4 linked regions of the Schizosaccharomyces pombe genome follow. Each later gene encodes a partner of the first gene's protein in a complex. Each region holds a gene or a part of one and is shown in the gene's direction. Other genes may lie near its edges.

What was found.
Region 2: rrp40 (region 1) and rrp41 share a complex: the UniProt entries of both Schizosaccharomyces pombe proteins name them as parts of the RNA exosome complex.
Region 3: rrp40 (region 1) and mtr3 share a complex: the UniProt entries of both Schizosaccharomyces pombe proteins name them as parts of the RNA exosome complex.
Region 4: rrp40 (region 1) and rrp42 share a complex: the UniProt entries of both Schizosaccharomyces pombe proteins name them as parts of the RNA exosome complex.

What each region holds. Positions count from the first base shown.
Region 1 is NC_003424.3:1,177,882-1,181,821, reverse strand, and holds rrp40 (exosome subunit Rrp40), read left to right. Parts: upstream 1-1,881; 5' UTR 1,882-1,890; coding exon 1,891-2,613; 3' UTR 2,614-2,966; downstream 2,967-3,940. Other genes in the region: SPOM_SPAC22A12.14C (BSD domain-containing protein), read left to right, coding at 1-593; mug84 (pig-P phosphatidylinositol N-acetylglucosaminyltransferase subunit), read right to left, coding at 981-1,568; dihydroxyacetone kinase Dak1, read right to left, coding at 3,015-3,940. UniProt on the Schizosaccharomyces pombe protein: Non-catalytic component of the RNA exosome complex which has 3'->5' exoribonuclease activity and participates in a multitude of cellular RNA processing and degradation events.
Region 2 is NC_003424.3:3,161,295-3,165,491, forward strand, and holds rrp41 (exosome 3'-5' phosphorolytic exoribonuclease Rrp41), read left to right. Parts: upstream 1-1,832; 5' UTR 1,833-1,926; coding exon 1,927-1,929; exon of another isoform or gene 1,930-1,977; coding exon 1,978-2,017; exon of another isoform or gene 2,018-2,128; coding exon 2,129-2,814; 3' UTR 2,815-3,060; downstream 3,061-4,197. Other genes in the region: pdc201 (pyruvate decarboxylase), read left to right, coding at 1-648; ppt2 (holo-[acyl-carrier-protein] synthase new8), read right to left, coding at 1,025-1,149, 1,229-1,317, 1,376-1,560. UniProt on the Schizosaccharomyces pombe protein: Non-catalytic component of the RNA exosome complex which has 3'->5' exoribonuclease activity and participates in a multitude of cellular RNA processing and degradation events.
Region 3 is NC_003423.3:3,886,168-3,890,531, reverse strand, and holds mtr3 (exosome complex component mtr3), read left to right. Parts: upstream 1-2,214; 5' UTR 2,215-2,253; coding exon 2,254-2,368; exon of another isoform or gene 2,369-2,406; coding exon 2,407-3,065; 3' UTR 3,066-3,627; downstream 3,628-4,364. Other genes in the region: uba1 (ubiquitin-activating enzyme E1), read right to left, coding at 1-1,599, 1,708-1,772, 1,831-1,836; ubiquitin conjugating enzyme Ubc8, read left to right, coding at 3,966-4,364. UniProt on the Schizosaccharomyces pombe protein: Non-catalytic component of the RNA exosome complex which has 3'->5' exoribonuclease activity and participates in a multitude of cellular RNA processing and degradation events.
Region 4 is NC_003423.3:4,229,751-4,234,827, forward strand, and holds rrp42 (exosome subunit Rrp42), read left to right. Parts: upstream 1-2,190; 5' UTR 2,191-2,202; coding exon 2,203-2,450; exon of another isoform or gene 2,451-2,516; intron 2,517-2,547; coding exon 2,548-3,199; 3' UTR 3,200-3,446; coding exon of another isoform or gene 3,447-4,034; 3' UTR 4,035-4,184; coding exon of another isoform or gene 4,185-4,229; 3' UTR 4,230-4,330; downstream 4,331-5,077. Other genes in the region: kex1 (serine carboxypeptidase), read left to right, coding at 1-60, 108-713; BAG family molecular chaperone regulator Bag101, read right to left, coding at 3,447-4,034; top3 (DNA topoisomerase III), read right to left, coding at 4,185-4,229, 4,331-5,066. UniProt on the Schizosaccharomyces pombe protein: Non-catalytic component of the RNA exosome complex which has 3'->5' exoribonuclease activity and participates in a multitude of cellular RNA processing and degradation events.

The sequences.
Region 1 (3,940 bases):
TTACCCAAATTATCTCTGAACCCTCTCATGGGATCACGTTTGAAAGCTGGGAAAAAGAAATTTCCATTGATGGGAAAACTGAAGAGATCTCTTTACTTTTGGAAGAATATCCTGATTTAAGGAAACAGATGGAATCTTTAGTACCTTCTGAAGTTTCTTATGATGATTTTTGGAAACGATTTTTTTGGCATAAAGAGGTTGTACAGCCGATAAAGGCAATTCAATCAGGAAACGATGAAGAAGAAATTTTTAGTTGGGGAGATGAAAGAAGTGATGAAGAAGAAAGTGACAATGAACAGGTTAATGATGAAAAAAAGCAATCAAGTGAAGAAGATACTACTGAGAATAATTCAGCAGCTGAAGTGATAGATGAAACCGTCAATGATTTGGAGTCAGCAGTTTCAAAAGGCTTACAAATTGAAACTCAACCCGCAAGCCATGATGGAGAGGTTGATGGAGAAGTTAAAGAAGAAGAGGAAAATAAAGTATCATCTTCCAGTAATATAGAAGCTTCTCAAAGTTCTCTTGAGGTGAAGGATGAAGCAAATAGAAAAGTTGATGACGATGATGAAGACGATGATGACTGGGAATAACGACTCTCGTCAAACTATTAAAAAGAGATATACTGTTTTTACTTCTCTTCTATTCATTTACTTGTTTTGGTGTGTTTTGTTCGTATAGCTAATTATTTGTCTGAAAACATTTTGTTTACGAACAACTCTTAGGTATATTATTAGCGGAATATAAAAAACATCTAATCTTGAGTATGCAGGTTGGAGTAGTAGGACTAGAGCATTAATCAACCTTCTTATAATATTATACATTTACATATACTTTTTGATTGTGAAACTTAAGGAAACCAGGATTTAAAAGTAAATCTGTATGGGTCGACGACATCAATAGATAATAAGTCCCTTAAATAATGAAGATTTTTAAGGAGAAAATGAATTCTGATATCACTTAGCTGCTTTTAGTCTTTTTTAAGTTTCTTCCAGTTGTTGTTTATTCACATCACATAGGCGAAGATCAACAACTCGACCATGAGCAGCACCATCTTCTTCACCAACGAGTGCGTATTGATCAACGATACATTCTAAGCTGCTAAATGGCTTAGTCAATACTTCGGTATTGTAAGCGTTTAGCACAACGTGAATGTAAATAACAAGAACAAATAACCAAGTAGGAATAGCTAGAGCCCACCAACGAGATAGATAATAATGAATCTCAAAAAATTTGAGAACAGGCGCAGGCGTCAGAGCCCAAACAATATACACGCCGAACCCCAACATTGACACCAAATACATCACGAACCCGTAATACTCATAAGTAGGAACTTTTACCATTATATCCCAATCTTGTTGATCAATTTCTGCAATGGCAGTTCCCTCTTCATCAGGCGTTGTAGACCTCGTTCGAAACATCGTAGTCAAAGATGGCGACGGTGGAACCAACATCGGATGTCCGTAAAACGGAGGATCAAAAACAGTAGTTTGCCTTACATCTTCTATCTCTCCTTCAGCAGAACCCTCTATCCCTTTTATGAACGTGGAATGATGAGTAAGTGTCATCCAAACATGTGTTTACTATGTGCATTTGTTAGATGAGAGCGCGTACTGAGATGATACAAATACAACTACGTCTGCTTACGATGTGATTAAATTCGATATCCCTATTAACGACATACATACAGAAAATCCTCGTAAACAGCATTATAGCACAATGTACGTTTGCGTTATTTTTCACAGTCTGGGCTAATGTGATTTATAAAATTAACGAGATTTACAGTATTAGTTTAGACACACTTACCGTCCAAGACATTAATCCTCGAATTATAGTGTATAACTCGCGAAAAATCAAACCCCAAATAGCTAATTTTCTTCTGTTAACCAAATGGCTGAAGTTGAAGAAAAAGGTCTGTTATCTTATTACTTTCCTGGTGAGCGGATACCAGACTCCATAATTAGTCAGGATGGATCAATTCGTTTAGGTCCTGGTTTAGTCTTTCAAAAGAAAGACCGTGAAGAAGAAATAGTGGTCTCAAAAGCTGGGAGGTTGCATCAAACTGGAAAAAATGCTATGTTGATAGACTCACGGACAAAAAGATATATTCCTGCTACAAATGATCAAGTTATTGGGCAAATTATTTCTAGATTTGCGGAAGGTTATCGAGTAGATATTGGGTCAGCTCATATTGCTCAATTGAATGCATTGGCTTTTGAAAATGTGACTCGTAAAAGTAGGCCCAATTTAAATGTTGGAAGCCTTGTGTATGCTCGAGTATCACTCGCTGATCGTGATATGGAACCGGAGTTAGAATGTTTCGATGCTACCACAGGGAAAGCTGCAGGATATGGTGAACTTAAAAACGGTTATATGATAACAGGTTTATCTTTATCTCATTGTAGGAAGTTGATCCTTCCTAAAAATACACTTTTACAGACCCTAGGAAGCTACATTCCTTTCGAAATTGCTGTTGGAATGAATGGTCGCGTTTGGGTCAATTCTGAAAATCTTTCTACTACGGTCCTCATTTGTACAGCTATCAGAAATTGCGAATTCATGTCTGATGAAGAGCAAATAAAGTACTGTAAAGACCTTATTAAAAAGCTCTAACGAGATTCAGAAAAAAAAATTTGAATAATATGCACAGTCTATTTAACAATTCTTGTCCAATTGGGTTTAATTCAAAAATGGTTTGCCCTTATCTAGGAGGGACCATTTCTGAATAAAGTGTATTGTTTCTTCTTTAATGCCTGTGTCTAATATTCCCATACAATTTCTGTCGTTCTTTTATTTATTACAGCAGCGTGTTCATACAATATCTACACTCGTCCTTTCTCAACTGTTTTAATTAAAAAATTACTTATTATAATGCATGAATATACAAATACAGATGCAAAGATAAGTAAGCAATAATTAATGCATGCATAATGAAAATATAATTGTTATTCGTGCTCGTAAATAGTTTTTAAGATCATACCAATTCTACAATCCCAAAAAAATTTCGTATCCAATTATTTCGTAAATCCTTCGACAATTGCAACGACACCAAGAGCGCCGGCATCGGGAACTTTAACATCATCACCAACGTAGACAGCACGTCCAAGTTTGGCTTGCATATCTGCAGTAGCATCAGCACCTTTACGAGCCTCCTCTACGGCAGCATTAAGATCATTAGTTTTAACAAATGTTTCGACAAATGGAACAAGAGCATCACACATAGTGCTGTCACCAGGACGAGCGGGAGTATACTTGAAAAGAGTATCAAGAGCAACCTTCAAACCAGCAGCCCATGTCTTAGATGAAATGTCCTTGCTCTTCTCCAAGGTGTCTTTCATGCCCTTCGCAAAGCCATGGAAGAAAATGGCGTACAAAGCACCAGATGTACCATCCATATTGTCTTCAATAACATCTGCGATATCACGAACAATACGAATAGGATCGTCAGAGAATTTGTCGGATTTAACAAACTTCAAAACACCTTCAGCACCACGCTTCAAAGTAGTACCACAGTCACCATCACCAGCCATCGTATCGAACTTTGTAATTTTAGGCTCTGCTTTGATGAGATTCTCCATCGAATTGACAATCGCCTGACGAACCTTCTCCTTATCGACAGTAACGGGAGACTTGACATCCTTCTGACCCTCCTCGATGCTGACATTGCCAATCTTGTTTTTGGACTTCAAGTCAGAGGGTTGACACAAAGGCCATCCGATAGCTTCAACAGGTTGGTCAATCAAATCAACCAAAGAGTATTCTTCGCCCTCGACTTTGACGCGGTCAGTGGTACGGAGCAAAGTGATACCGAAACCCAAGCCATTCAAACTGGTGGTAAATGGACCGGCAAAGATGCGAACGGGGTTGATTTTGTATTCTTTAGCCAATGCTTCCTTCACCTTGTGGCTAATGGCACTGAATTCAAGCATGGAAAGACCAC
Region 2 (4,197 bases), 2.0 Mb from region 1:
GAGCCACCAAAGGCTGTTGCTGCTGAGGGTTACGCCGAAGGAACCATTACCCACAAATGGTTCTGGCCTACGTTTGCCTCTTTTCTTCGTGAGTCCGATGTAGTGACTACCGAGACAGGTACCTCCAACTTTGGTATTTTGGATTGCATTTTCCCCAAAGGCTGCCAAAATCTCTCACAGGTATTATGGGGCTCAATTGGTTGGTCGGTTGGCGCTATGTTTGGTGCTACGTTGGGCATCAAGGATTCCGATGCTCCTCACCGTCGTTCCATATTGATTGTTGGTGACGGTTCCCTTCATTTAACTGTTCAGGAAATTTCTGCTACCATCCGTAACGGTCTCACCCCTATCATATTTGTAATTAACAATAAGGGATATACAATTGAACGTCTCATTCACGGTCTTCACGCTGTTTACAACGACATCAACACTGAATGGGACTATCAAAACCTTCTTAAAGGCTATGGTGCCAAAAATTCTCGCTCCTATAACATTCATTCAGAAAAGGAGCTCCTCGATCTCTTTAAAGATGAGGAATTTGGAAAAGCTGATGTAATTCAGCTCGTTGAAGTTCATATGCCTGTCTTGGATGCTCCTCGTGTTTTGATTGAGCAAGCCAAACTTACCGCTTCTCTTAACAAGCAGTAAAAAATATGGCTATGGCTATATTATTATGATATGTTTTTGATTTTGAAATTTACAATATTTCTCAAATGATGCTTTTGTTAGGTTAGTTAATTTGCAACAGTCGTTTTTTTTTTCTACGTCAATCCATATTTCTTTCATAAAATGAATGAATATATTGAAGTTTATGCAGCGGTTGTTTTTTTGTTGGTAATTAGGATTCATTGAATGATTTATTTTTTTTTTCTTTTTGCATCCCCTTACTCCAAGGTAGACTTGTCCAGATAATTCCCTGTTAGTATAAACTCAATAACATAAAAAAAGGTCATTGAGACGACTGGTAATGAGTAGCAGCAATAGAATCACTAAATAATATAGTACCTTCAATTTGGTCTCTCGTCTATGTCTTTGGCATAGATGGTAGATACAAAGCATTCGCTACAACCAAATCTTCCTCATGGCTTACAGATACCATTACGGGAGAAAGCGGAAATCGGGGATCATGAATAACAACGGAAGGGTAGCCTATATTAATCATAACAAAGTCAGTAACTTTACAAACCTTTTATTTTTAAACATTGAACATGGAAAACAAATGACACACCTGTGGGAGTTCGAACATACTCCATCATAGACATGTAAACTCGAAAATTCGGTTGTAAAGCTTTGAAAACAGCTTCTTTGACGCACCATCTACATAGGAAAATAACCGTTAAAACTATGAAACGATCATAAATATAGACAAGCATACCTAACAGCAAGCCATTTAGCCTGTTCGCTTAAACGAGGCAGCGAGGAATTGCTTTTAATCAGGTTGTACTTTTTAATTTCATTTTCACACAGACATTTTTTTAAAAAGTTCTTTTCCCATTCAGGAGAGCGTTGAATTAATCTTGAGATTCTTGAAATTTTTAAAATGTCAATCCCTAAACCCATTTCGATTTTTGATTCTTTATAACATGAACAGGAAATATTAATGGTAATGCAAGAAGAAAAAAAGAAATCTATGGCTTCAATAATTTTGAACGCTTAATTAATAATATATTGTAAACTAAATTTCCGACACACTAAACGAGATATAAAAATCTTTATCCTTAAATAAAATGAAATAAATTTATCTAATTCATTATCGATTAGTGCCCCCAAAGACATCAAATCCAATTCGTTTCGTAGCGAATGCAGTAGCAGGAGTTTTTACTGTAACAAGTGTACTCTCTACTCACTCCCAGTTACAAAAGTGTTCAAAGGGAACCAAAAATTATATATTTGTAATCCTTTCAATCACGAAAAAAAAAATTTCATATGGTAAGAGATAGAATTTATCTCTAGATAATACGAGTACTAACCATATAGTCACACTTTGAGATTTTATCCCTTGAAGGTCTTCGAAATGGTAAGCCAATTCATTTATGGGAAATGAAAAAGAAACTTAAAATTTACATTCAAACATCTATGATTCTTATAAAATGTATTAATCTTTCTGTGTGCTAATATTTGTTGCAAGATGGTCGACGGTGGGATGAGATGAGAAACTTTCAGTGTCGTATTGGAATCGAGCCTTCGGAGAATGGGTCGGCGTTTATTGAATTGGGTAACACAAAGGTCTTGTGTATAGTCGATGGACCCTCGGAGCCTGTAATAAAGTCCAAAGCTAGAGCTGACAGAACATTTGTGAATGTCGAAATAAACATTGCTTCTTTCAGCACAATAGATGTGAAAAAGAGATTTAAATCGGATAGGAGAATTCAATTGCAATGTTTAGCTTTACAAAATACATTTGAGGAGATAATTCAAACAGAATTATATCCCAGAAGTCAAATTTCTGTCTACTTGCATGTTTTACAAGATGATGGTGCAGTAATGGCATCTTGTATCAACGCTACTACTCTTGCCTTAATAGATGCTGGTATACCAGTTAAAGATTTCGTTTGCTGTAGTACAGCTGGGATTGTTGAGTCTGATATGCTGTTGGATTTAAACTCACTAGAGGAGTCAGCTCTTTCATGGTTGACGGTTGCTGTTTTGGGGAACATAAAAAAGGTCGTATATATGCAGCTGGAAACTAGTATGCATTTGGATTATTTGGAGTCAGTAATGAATATGGCGATCGCTGGATCAGAACATATTTATAACACGATGCAAAGTGCGGTTCGACAAAGCGCTAAACCGGCACTTGCAAGTCTCAGCTAATGACAAAATTTTGGGGAAAAAAACTATTAAAAATAAATGAACGGGAAGATTAATTTTTATAATTATACATTGATAAGTCATCACAATTGCAACTTTACTTAGCTCTACGATATTCTGACAAAACGTATACAGCTTTACTCATTTTATTCCTAGTACAACGTTTTTGTCCTTATCCTTGGTATTTCTGTATAAGTATCAAAAAAATCACCTCGAATATCGTATATAATCTTTTAATGATTGCGTCCCTTTTTTGTCTAAAGGGGCTTATATTACAAAAAATATGGATTGTACTGTAGATATTATGCATCAAAAAAGGCTCATTAATTAGTTGAAGATTTTATGAATAAATTCGGTTATTCAGATCTCACTTATTATAATAAATTGATTATTTTTTGGGGGAGGCTTTCATAAACAACCGGGAATTTTTCATTCAACAGATATTACAGATTGATGTGGATTAAAAAGAAAATATATATATATATATATATTTTTTTAGATTTTTAGATATAAGAAACCTAAGGTTTATTATGAGAATCGTAAAACTGTTTTTCGAGATAAATGTTAAATTTGTTAATGTTAAAATATGAAAAACACAGTATTTTTATTTTATATATTTCTATAATGGTGCAAACTAACAGTAGCTCTTGTAGCTCAGTGGTAGAGCGCCTGTCTCGTAAACAGGAGGTCCAGTGTTCGAGTCACTGCCGGAGCAGTTTTTATATTTTTCGATCACAGATCGGCCTTTCTAATAAGCATTGAAAGCTACAAAATGAGTATACTAAGATACTTATTAATGCATATTCTTGTAAATAGGGTTTCTCACAATTCATCGAATATACATACTCAAATTCTGCCGTTACTAGTTGATTGCTGATTTCAAGGACATCTTGATTAATAAAATGGAAGAATCGCTGTAGGATCAACAGTTAATATTACCTTCGTTTTAAAAATGAGGAATCTCGTGCCGTTCAACCAAAGTAAAAATGAAACTTCGTCAAACTGCATGACTAAGTTTCCCCTTTCTGTTTTTGATGCTTTCATAGCACTGTCAAGAATACCGTTGCGCAAATATCTGGCAATTATATACATACCAGTTCATCGCGGCCTGATTTAAGTTTTGTACGTTTTATTGTTTTCAATTGTTTTTACTAGACAGCATACTGAAATATGCCTTCAACAGTTTTTAATTTTATCAGTTTGATTGAATACATCAGTTTCCCTAAATGCTTTCTATCTTTGCCTTCAAAAACTTATTGCTTATACATGTTATAAATATACTATTTAAACGTCTACGGCCATACCTAGGCGAAAACACCAGTTCCCGTCCGATCACTGCAGTTAAGCGTCTGAGGGCCTCGTTAGTACTATGGTTGGAGACAACAT
Region 3 (4,364 bases), on another chromosome or scaffold:
AATAATGGCTTTTCGAAAAATACACAACGGCGGTCAACATACATTCGAGCTTCGACGTTATCCAAAGCATTCGTGACTAAAGATAACTTTTCAAAGAATTCATCGCCAAATATGCCTTCGCTTTCTGGTCCAACACGTTCTTGATATGAAGTTATTTTACCAGTCAATGAAGGATTCATGATTGAAACAGCGGTAGAAGCACATTCGGACTTCAGCTTTCCGACGTCACGAGGACGAAAGAGAAATTGACGATTCAAATTCGATTTTTCAATGGAGTCCATATCAGTAACAGAAATATGACCACTTTCACCAGTAGCGACACCCATCATAGCCCAGTTTTTCAGCATTTCACATCCAATAGCGCCAGCACCAACCAAAAACGTACTCAAAGAAGCTATTTTCTCTTGAAATTCCGAACCGAAAACAGCGATTTGCCCATCGTATCGACAGCCACGAGGTTTACAAGTTTCTTCACTGATCGTTACAGAAGATGGCAAGCTTTCTAAGGAGTCAAAATAGAAGTATTGCTTCAATGGGTAAAATTTACTGGTGGTAGCTTTCAACACTTCCTGTGCTACAGCACCGCCCAAAAACGCGGACATTGCAACCAAATCACCTCTTGCCTGGTATGAAATTTCCTTAATTAGTTTTTCATCGAGTTCAACATCAAATTGAAGTGTGCTTGCAATTTTCTTACAAAATTCGAAAAATTCAGCTGCATCAATGTCGTTACGGGGTCGAGGCAATGAACCTTCATGCGCATCGGCAAATGCTGAAAGGGCCTGGAAAGCAATGTGGTATTGTGGAGGTCTCATCATTTTACCAAAGTCAGGATATACATATTCAGGGTCCTTGAGCGATTCGCGGAGAGATTTGAAAGATATTTTGGTTGGAACTTTAACTTGGGTAAAGACACCATTGTAACCGGCACTTCCTAAATCTTTAACAGATCCGATAGAAAAGGTATATGGACCTTTCACTTCAACTTTACGAGGAGTGCCATCATTTAAACCAGGCATACCCTTCACTTCGGTAAATTTAACAAAATCACCATTCTCCAATCCATGACGAGTTTCTTCAAGCATGGTAACAACTCCATCATCAGTAATTGAAGCGATCATTCCAGTTAAAGGTTCATTTCCATCAGTGTCAGTACAAATAAAGTTCTCACCAAAATCACAAAATATCGATCCAAAAAGACCACGGCTGTCAGCAGCAATATAAGCAATATGGTTTTTGTGTGTAAAGTCGTTAATTTCTAGCTGTTTCGTAAGAGAAGTTTCTGTGACAACCACGCATTTGAAGTTTTTTAGATACTCTGTTGAAAGTTCATCAACTACAGAAACAGGCACATATTGATTAAGCTCTGCTAACTTTGATACCGTTACTTTTGCACGAGGAACACCAATATCGTCTTCTGTAAGAAAATATTGTGATGATAAGTCCTCAATGCGTGTAGGTTGAGGATCGTAAAGAGTAACGCTTTTTACACCTGCTAGACAAACGTTCTTTGCTATTTCAACGCCTAAACCTTTGCAGCCAATGATTAAGACATTCGACTGACTCATTTGTTTCATAGCCTCATGGCCTAAAACATAACTTTAGATAAATTAGCAAGCGCTCAGTACAAGAAAGAATATAAAAACATAAAGCTAAACCAAATCAACACCGGTAATAATGACTCTTCATGTTTCTAATAAAACTTACAGTTGTCTAGAGTAAAGCCCTTCATCGATAGTATTTTGATCCGTTTGATCAATGTTCATGTTATTCTTTTGCAATGTTAGTAAGAAGCGAAAAATACTTGAATCATTTAAACAAATTACATACACTCATTACGAAACGTGGTGTTGGCAGAGGAGAGTCATACGTAGGCTATAATATAGTGTTTTTATATGTTCAAATAGCGAGCTCTTTCGTTACACATGCTTAACAATTTATTACTCATTAAATTTAAGAGCGCGCACTTGAAGTATGCTGGCTGGATAAAAAAAAATTTTGCACCATTATTCTAAAAGCATTTTTATTTTCCAGCTTACTGATTGAAACGCTTAGTCATTACAAAAATCTTTTAGATGCGATAAAATTGCTTTCTATATGTCATATATACACCGAATCAAACAATATCGTTATATATATTAAGGCATGCAAACGCGTCATCCCAAAACGCGAAGCCACCACTGAAAATCCAGGCTGCTTCTGTATTGTTTTCTTAACGGTACATCAAGGTTAAAACAAATACTCTATAAATCGATGTCAGATAGAAAGAGAGTGTATGGACCGAGTGTATCCGTTCCCCCTTATTTTGAAGAGCCAGAACAACCTGTTTTCACGCGGACTCGTGATGTTGACAGATGTCGAAAAATATGTAAGATACCGATTATTAACATTTTCACTGACAATTAGATCTAAAATTAGGGTGGGCTACTAAAGCTGTCGGTAGCAGTTATTTTGAATCAGAAAAAATAAAAATTGCATGCACAGTCTCTGGTCCTCGACCTAGTAAGACTTTTGCTTTTCGTTCATCAGCAAAGTTGAATTGTGAATTTAGATTATCCCCATTTTCTACTTCTGTTCGTCAGGGACATGTACAAACCGTCGAAGAAAAAAGCTATTCCCAAATGATTGAAGCAGCAATTTCTCCAAGTATATTACTGCATTTGTATCCGAAAAGTTCTATAGACGTTTATATTCAAGTGATTGAAAGTGACGGTGCATTAGCAACATTGGCTGCTGCTATAAGTTGCGCATCAAGTGCAATAGCTGATGCTAACATCGACTGCATAGATTTGGTGACGGGCTCGAGTGTATTATTTAATCCCAATACGGATGAATATTGGATTGATCCTGATTATGTGGATGAGCGTGCAAGGGCTGCTAAAGGTTCTGTAGTTATGGGGTACATGGCTTCTCTTGGTCACGTTACTCAAGTATGGGAAAGAGGCACTTGCTCTCCGAGTCGCCTTTCGTTTTTGACGGAAAAATGCATAAAGAATGCCAAAGATACTCGGTTAGTAATTAATCATGCACTGCTACTAGAGAAGTCGAAATCCGAAGATCCTTAGATATTGGAATTCTACCTCTATAATAATATTCTGTTGATGGCTAATATTTATACCAATTTTACAAATTACATAATCAAATTTATTTCTTTTTAAAATTCTCTTCTATTAGTTGGCAATGCTCAAGTTTTGCCTTTTTTTCCTTAACACACATTTGAAGGGAGACGCTATCTTTTCTCGACAAACAAGCAGATGACTTCCCTAAGTAGATTTTCTTCTTTGAAATCAGCTTGGCCATCCGCAAGTTACGTTTGTTATGAAAAATACGAGTAAATATTAAATTAAAGATCTTAGTTTTTATCACTCGCGAATATATTCAGTAGCCAAACGATTAACTCTTTCCAATTTTTTCCAGTCTATTTATCGATTCCAATAGAACAAAACAAATGCTGAGATTTTATTAATACATATATTTGATACTAATTTATCAAGCTGCATTGAGACGAAAGCATCTTGGTAGTACTAGAATCATTGTTACTCACATACTGTTACCTGCTTCTTATAACCTCCAAATCAGCGAAATTCCGCGTCTTCATCATAGCCAAACTTATGCTCAATTGCCTCGTTTGTAAATTAAAATATATTTAACAATAAGAAGGACGATAAAGAGGGGATTCTTCTATACAATAAAATTGCTTTCATTTAAATTAGGTCATTGATGATTATTAGTTGTTGCTTTTAAAAATTTGATATATTCACGGACAATAGGATAGAACCATTTAAAACGGAAGCTAAGAATCTTTCCAAAAGTCCAAAATAATTTGATTTTATTGAAAATTACTCGAAAACTGCTGAATTTGCGAATTTGCCTTTATTGCAGCAAATTACCGTATTTGAATACTACACTAGCTTAAAATTATTGAGTTCTTTTTTAGTTTTGAAATAAAACTATAAAAAATCAAAATGTCGAGCCCAAGGCGCAGAATTGAGACGGACGTTATGAAGCTGCTGATGAGTGATTACGAGGTAACTCTTGTCAATGATAATATGCAAGAATTTTACGTTAGGTTCCATGGACCGTCTGAAACCCCTTACTCAGGTGGAATATGGAAAGTTCATGTTGAACTGCCAAGTGAGTATCCTTGGAAATCTCCAAGTATTGGATTTGTAAATCGTATATTTCATCCCAATATCGATGAGCTTAGTGGAAGTGTTTGCTTGGACGTGATAAATCAAACTTGGTCTCCAATGTTTGATATGATTAATATTTTTGAGGTTTTTCTTCCACAGCTACTCCGTTATCCTAATGCGTCGGACCCTCTAAATGGAGAGGCAGCAGCTCTATTATTGCGAGAGCCGAAT
Region 4 (5,077 bases), on another chromosome or scaffold:
TATCCTACTTGTGGAATGGACTGGCCTTACGATCTTTCCTATCTTACTGAATTTTTAAGTGTATGTTTATAATTATATGATAATATATCTTTTACTAACATTGTCAGACTCGTGAAGCGATGACTTCCTTAAACGTTAACCTCGAAAAGGTTCATGATTGGGAAGAATGTAATGACGACGTTGCCCTACAATATGCTCGTGAAGGGATTGAGTCCTCATCTAAGTTAATCCAGGACCTTGTATCTACGGTTCCTATTTTGTTGTTTTACGGCGAAAATGACTTTCTTTGTAATTATTTATCTGGCGAAAAATTAACCCGATCACTGGAGTGGAATGGTGCTGTTGGTTTTCAAAATCAATCTGCTCAACCATTTTATCTTCCGGGCTATTCTGATCAACCATCGGGCTCCTATGTTAGTTCCCGGAACCTGACCTTTGCTCGCATAGTTGAAGCTAGTCACATGGTTCCATACGATCATCCTAATGAAATGAAGACCTTGATTACTGCTTTCTTTAATAATGACTTTGCCAGCTTACCATCGGTACCTAAACCCTCTCCGGATTTAGGTAATGGAAACTACAAATGGCTTTATTTGGGTTTGATTCCTGTTGCTTTAACTATCATTATTTTATTCTCAATTTATTTGTGCAGGAGATTTGGATTATTTGGTCTTAGCAAACAACGCTACCAACCTATATCTCCAACTCCTTAGACTGTATATAAATCTTTTCTGTCGGTTTTTACTTTCACATACAGATTTTCTGCTCTTTATTTTAATCATTTAACTTTTAATCTTGCTTTATCGGTGGTAGAATTTATTTTTTTATCTTGGAACGTTCTTCCCTGGTTTTAAAAAATCTGCGATTATCACCATAAATTTTATCTCTCATCTTTAATCAAATTTCACTTATGGATACATTCTTTGAATTTTTATTTTTGCACATAGTCTCTAAATGATCTCAAATCATGAATATGAAATATCATGTACCAAACATTGTCTTATAGCTATTGTTTGTTCTACAGTTTTTGTAGTTTTTTTATAGGACAGATTAGCGTCAAACGCTAATCTCAATAACGTGTTTGCAATAGTACAGTATATCATGGAGAACTACGTCTTGTAACATGTGTCACAAATGTATAAATACTAGTGAGATCTGTCTGTTTATATTGACAATCCGTTACATCCCTTAATAATCGATTATTATAAATAATTTATAATCGAATCACGTTCCTAAATTCAGTTAGAAGCTATAGCAATGGGAGGATTCTATCACATCTACGCATGAGAACAAAGGAGAACTGCAAGCTAATAACAGATCTACTGTAATCATATTTGACAATCCAAAATCGACGCACGTTATCAGGGACACAATTGATGCGTTTGGTAAATTTTACAGACAGCCTTAACTAAATAGGTCTAGGCAACGAGTGAACTAGCTCTATATCAAAGAAGAAATTGGATAGTTTTATTTCGATGACAACGTCTTTAAATCCATGATCCAATAGGCCCAACTTGCTTGTGGATGGATACTTACAGATGGCACGCTATCGAACAGAACACCAGATATGATCTTATTGCTACTCGGCCAAATTGCATCAAAGTGGTAAATAATATTTCAGCGTAGGTTTTGCATCCAAAATTTTGAAGGAATAGGTTATAATGAAGCACCAACTGCCCAAGCATTTTCAACTGATGTAAACTTGCGAAATTTTTAGAGAATGCGCCTTTTCTGCTGTGTCAATAAACAAGTCTTAGCTAATAAAAAAACATGTCGCAGTAGTACTGACAACGCTATAATTTACTACGTTGTGTATCACATTTGGAACATGTTCTATTTAAACATAGCCTCGTAGATGATAGATATTGGGGCAAATCATTTGATATCTGAAACAAATATTTAGTTTATATGTTCAACAATTTAAATAGGAAACTAAATTTCGTTCCTCACTTTAGTCAGAAGCTAATAACAGAAATAGATCATAAATAATACCTACATATACCAATATTTTCAATGACTCATAGCCGTTATACCTATGTATTATAATATAACAGATCACATGTAAAACTTATCGCGGTTTTGCATATCGTTAAACAGATACAAAACTGCGTAGCATACATAACGAACTTTAGAATATACGCAAGAACTCAACGCAATATTGCAAGGAAAATTATTCTTAAACGATATACCATTAGCCAACATATGCAATTGTCATTACCAGAACTATCGTACACACACAAATCAATAACAGAATTTGAGCCTGCAATTCGGAATGATGGACGTTCGATAGACCAGCTTCGTCCGCTTTCTGGACAAGTAGATGTTCTGCCTGGTACAAATGGTTCTGCTAGAGTTAAATGGGCGTCTTCGGTGGAGATAGTCATAGGTGTAAAAGCAGAAGTGGGTGATGCTACTCCCGAAGGTGGTAAATATGTCGCTTCAGTTGAAATGTACGTGAGATATTTGGAGTTCGTATTAACATTGTTTGGCGTAACAAACAATATGAATCAATTGAAAAAAGCTGGTATGCTAACACTTTTTATGTAGTTCTCCATCTGTTTCAATCCAGAATCGTGAAACCGATGAAATTCCTTCATTCCTTACAAGTGCCCTTCAGGATTTATTAAACGCACTTGCTGTCGACTATTTGAAATTTACACCATCTAAAGCTTGGATTATTCACGTAGATGCTGTTGTAATACTTTCTTCGTCTCCTTACGAAAACATTCTTTCAGCTTTAAGTCTTGCTGCTTATTTAGCATTACAGACTACACGTTTACCTAAAATTTCTACCCCCAATGTCACAGACATCACTATTGGATCTACTAAATATGAGCCTTCCGAAGAATACGATGTTGATTCAGAATGGGAAAATGCATTACCTTTGCAAGGGTTAGAATTAATGTCAGTCATAATTTTGGTTAGTAGCATTGATCAAGTGATAATTGTTGATCCTACAATTGAGGAATCAAGTGTCGCTCAAGTGACATATGCGATTGGTGTTCAAGCTAGTGGTGCTATTAGCTATACCAGGGTCGTGGGTACTGGAGGAGGCTACGCATCCACTGGACGTGCAATAACTGTAGAGCGATATATAGAATTGTTAGAGACTGCGTCTACCGTTGGTACTAAGCTTTTGAACGCCAGCAGCGATATTCTATCTTTTAAGGGTTTAGGATTTTTTGATATTCTTCCATAAATGAATTGGGTTGGGTTGGTCTCCATTTCCTATATAATAGCATCTTTCTCTCTATATATATATATAAATGCAATACTTGGGTTACGGAATCAGGATCAATTTTGTTACATGAAGAGGCATGCATCGGTATTTTTGGTTACTATGGTTGGTCATTGTATTTCGTTTAGGTCAAAGTCATATAGCAAGTATAGTAGATGGGAATAATTTAAGGGAAATGAAATGGTAACGTCTATAAAAATAATAAAGCCTATGCGGCCACTTCTTGGCTTGTTTGGTCAACGTGATCCAACATTTTTTGGATCTTAGAAACAAGTTGCTTCCGTTCAAAACGCAATTTCTCGCTGCCCAGTACGTCAACTCCATCCAATTTTAAAAGCTGTTGTAAAAGTAGTTCACTTATCATTAGTTTCTGTTTGTTTTTCTGCTTTGGATCGTTCGACGGTTTATTTACGTAATTGTCGTACATGGGGGAAAGTTCTTTGTCAACATACTGATCGATGGCTTTTATTTCTCCAGAAATACGCGAAAATACAGGATTCTCCGCTTCCGCTTTCGGAGCGGGCTCAACCGTGTCTTTTTCCTTGGAACCTCGTTGTTGCTTATGTGGTCTTATACATAGAATTTTACTATGATTTTTTAAACCCAATTTTGATAACGAGGCTTTTTTGTCTTTTAAACGCTTGCCAGCGTAAAAAAGCTTGACTTTCTTCTCAGAAATCTCAGTCGTTTCAAGTAAATCATCAATCAGTTCACTTAACGTCTCATTTAGATTGACTGCTACCGGAAATCGCTGATTTCCATAGTGTATTGTAACTGTGCTAGTCTTTTCTGACATTGACGATATTAAGTCGACTTGCTTAACGGATCCAACTCAAGATGTTTTATGTTTTTAAGGCTGATGCTATCCAAAAAAATGAAGGTCTTAATGCGACGCTTAAAAACGAAAGGTAATAAGTTAATAAAAGTATACGAGCGGTCTGGTTATCTAGGTTTGCGGTTCATTATGACTCATAAGGTAGACTCTGCAACTCTGCGTTATATTTGTTAGCAACCATAAAATGAAAAGATTAATAAATAAAGTATGGGATTTTGAAAATTGGAAAAGTAGGAAACAATGATAATTTGACTTACATTTTTTAAACAATCGAATCTTTGCTTTGTGAGATGAAAAACATCACGGAATTGGGTAAGGATCATATGAACTAGAACATTCCGATTAAGTTGGCCATTTTCTATGTTTTTAAGTTGAACTTCCATTTCTTTTCGCAAGAAAGGCTTGGTCAAACTCCACTCTAAACCAATTTCATCATAGCCTTTTGCCAAAGCAACTCCTAAAGAGCTTGGTACAAATTCAGTTACACCTTGGCCCCTTTTTTTTCGTTTTATGACATATTCTCTCTCCTGAACTTTTTCGATGTGCTCTGCCATAGTAGCATCTGTCCCGATTCCATTGGCATCCATCAAGGCAATTAACTCCGGTTCAGTGATATAGGAAGGGGAGGACGTTGAACTGTCCATCATGTCGAGAATGTGGGGTTGGAATTCCTCGTGAAGTCTATACTCTGGTAATTGATCCGAACTTTCCCATTTCTCATATGGATAAACCTCTAAATAATTTTTCTCTGTCACTAGCAATCCCTTTTTAGAAAAAAGCTCTTCTTCCATTTTAACCTGCACCAACGTTTCGGCTCCTTTGGCATTGTCAGAACAACAAGCTAAAAATCTTCTTGTAATTAGCTCATATACTTTCCAATGATCTTGGGAAGGAAGCGCTGACCGGTGAACCATTTGAACGGGATGAATAGGTGGATGAGCGCGATCATTGTGTTTACCTTTTCGGGGCGGTCGATAATCTCCAGCCAAAAGCCTAACATTAGT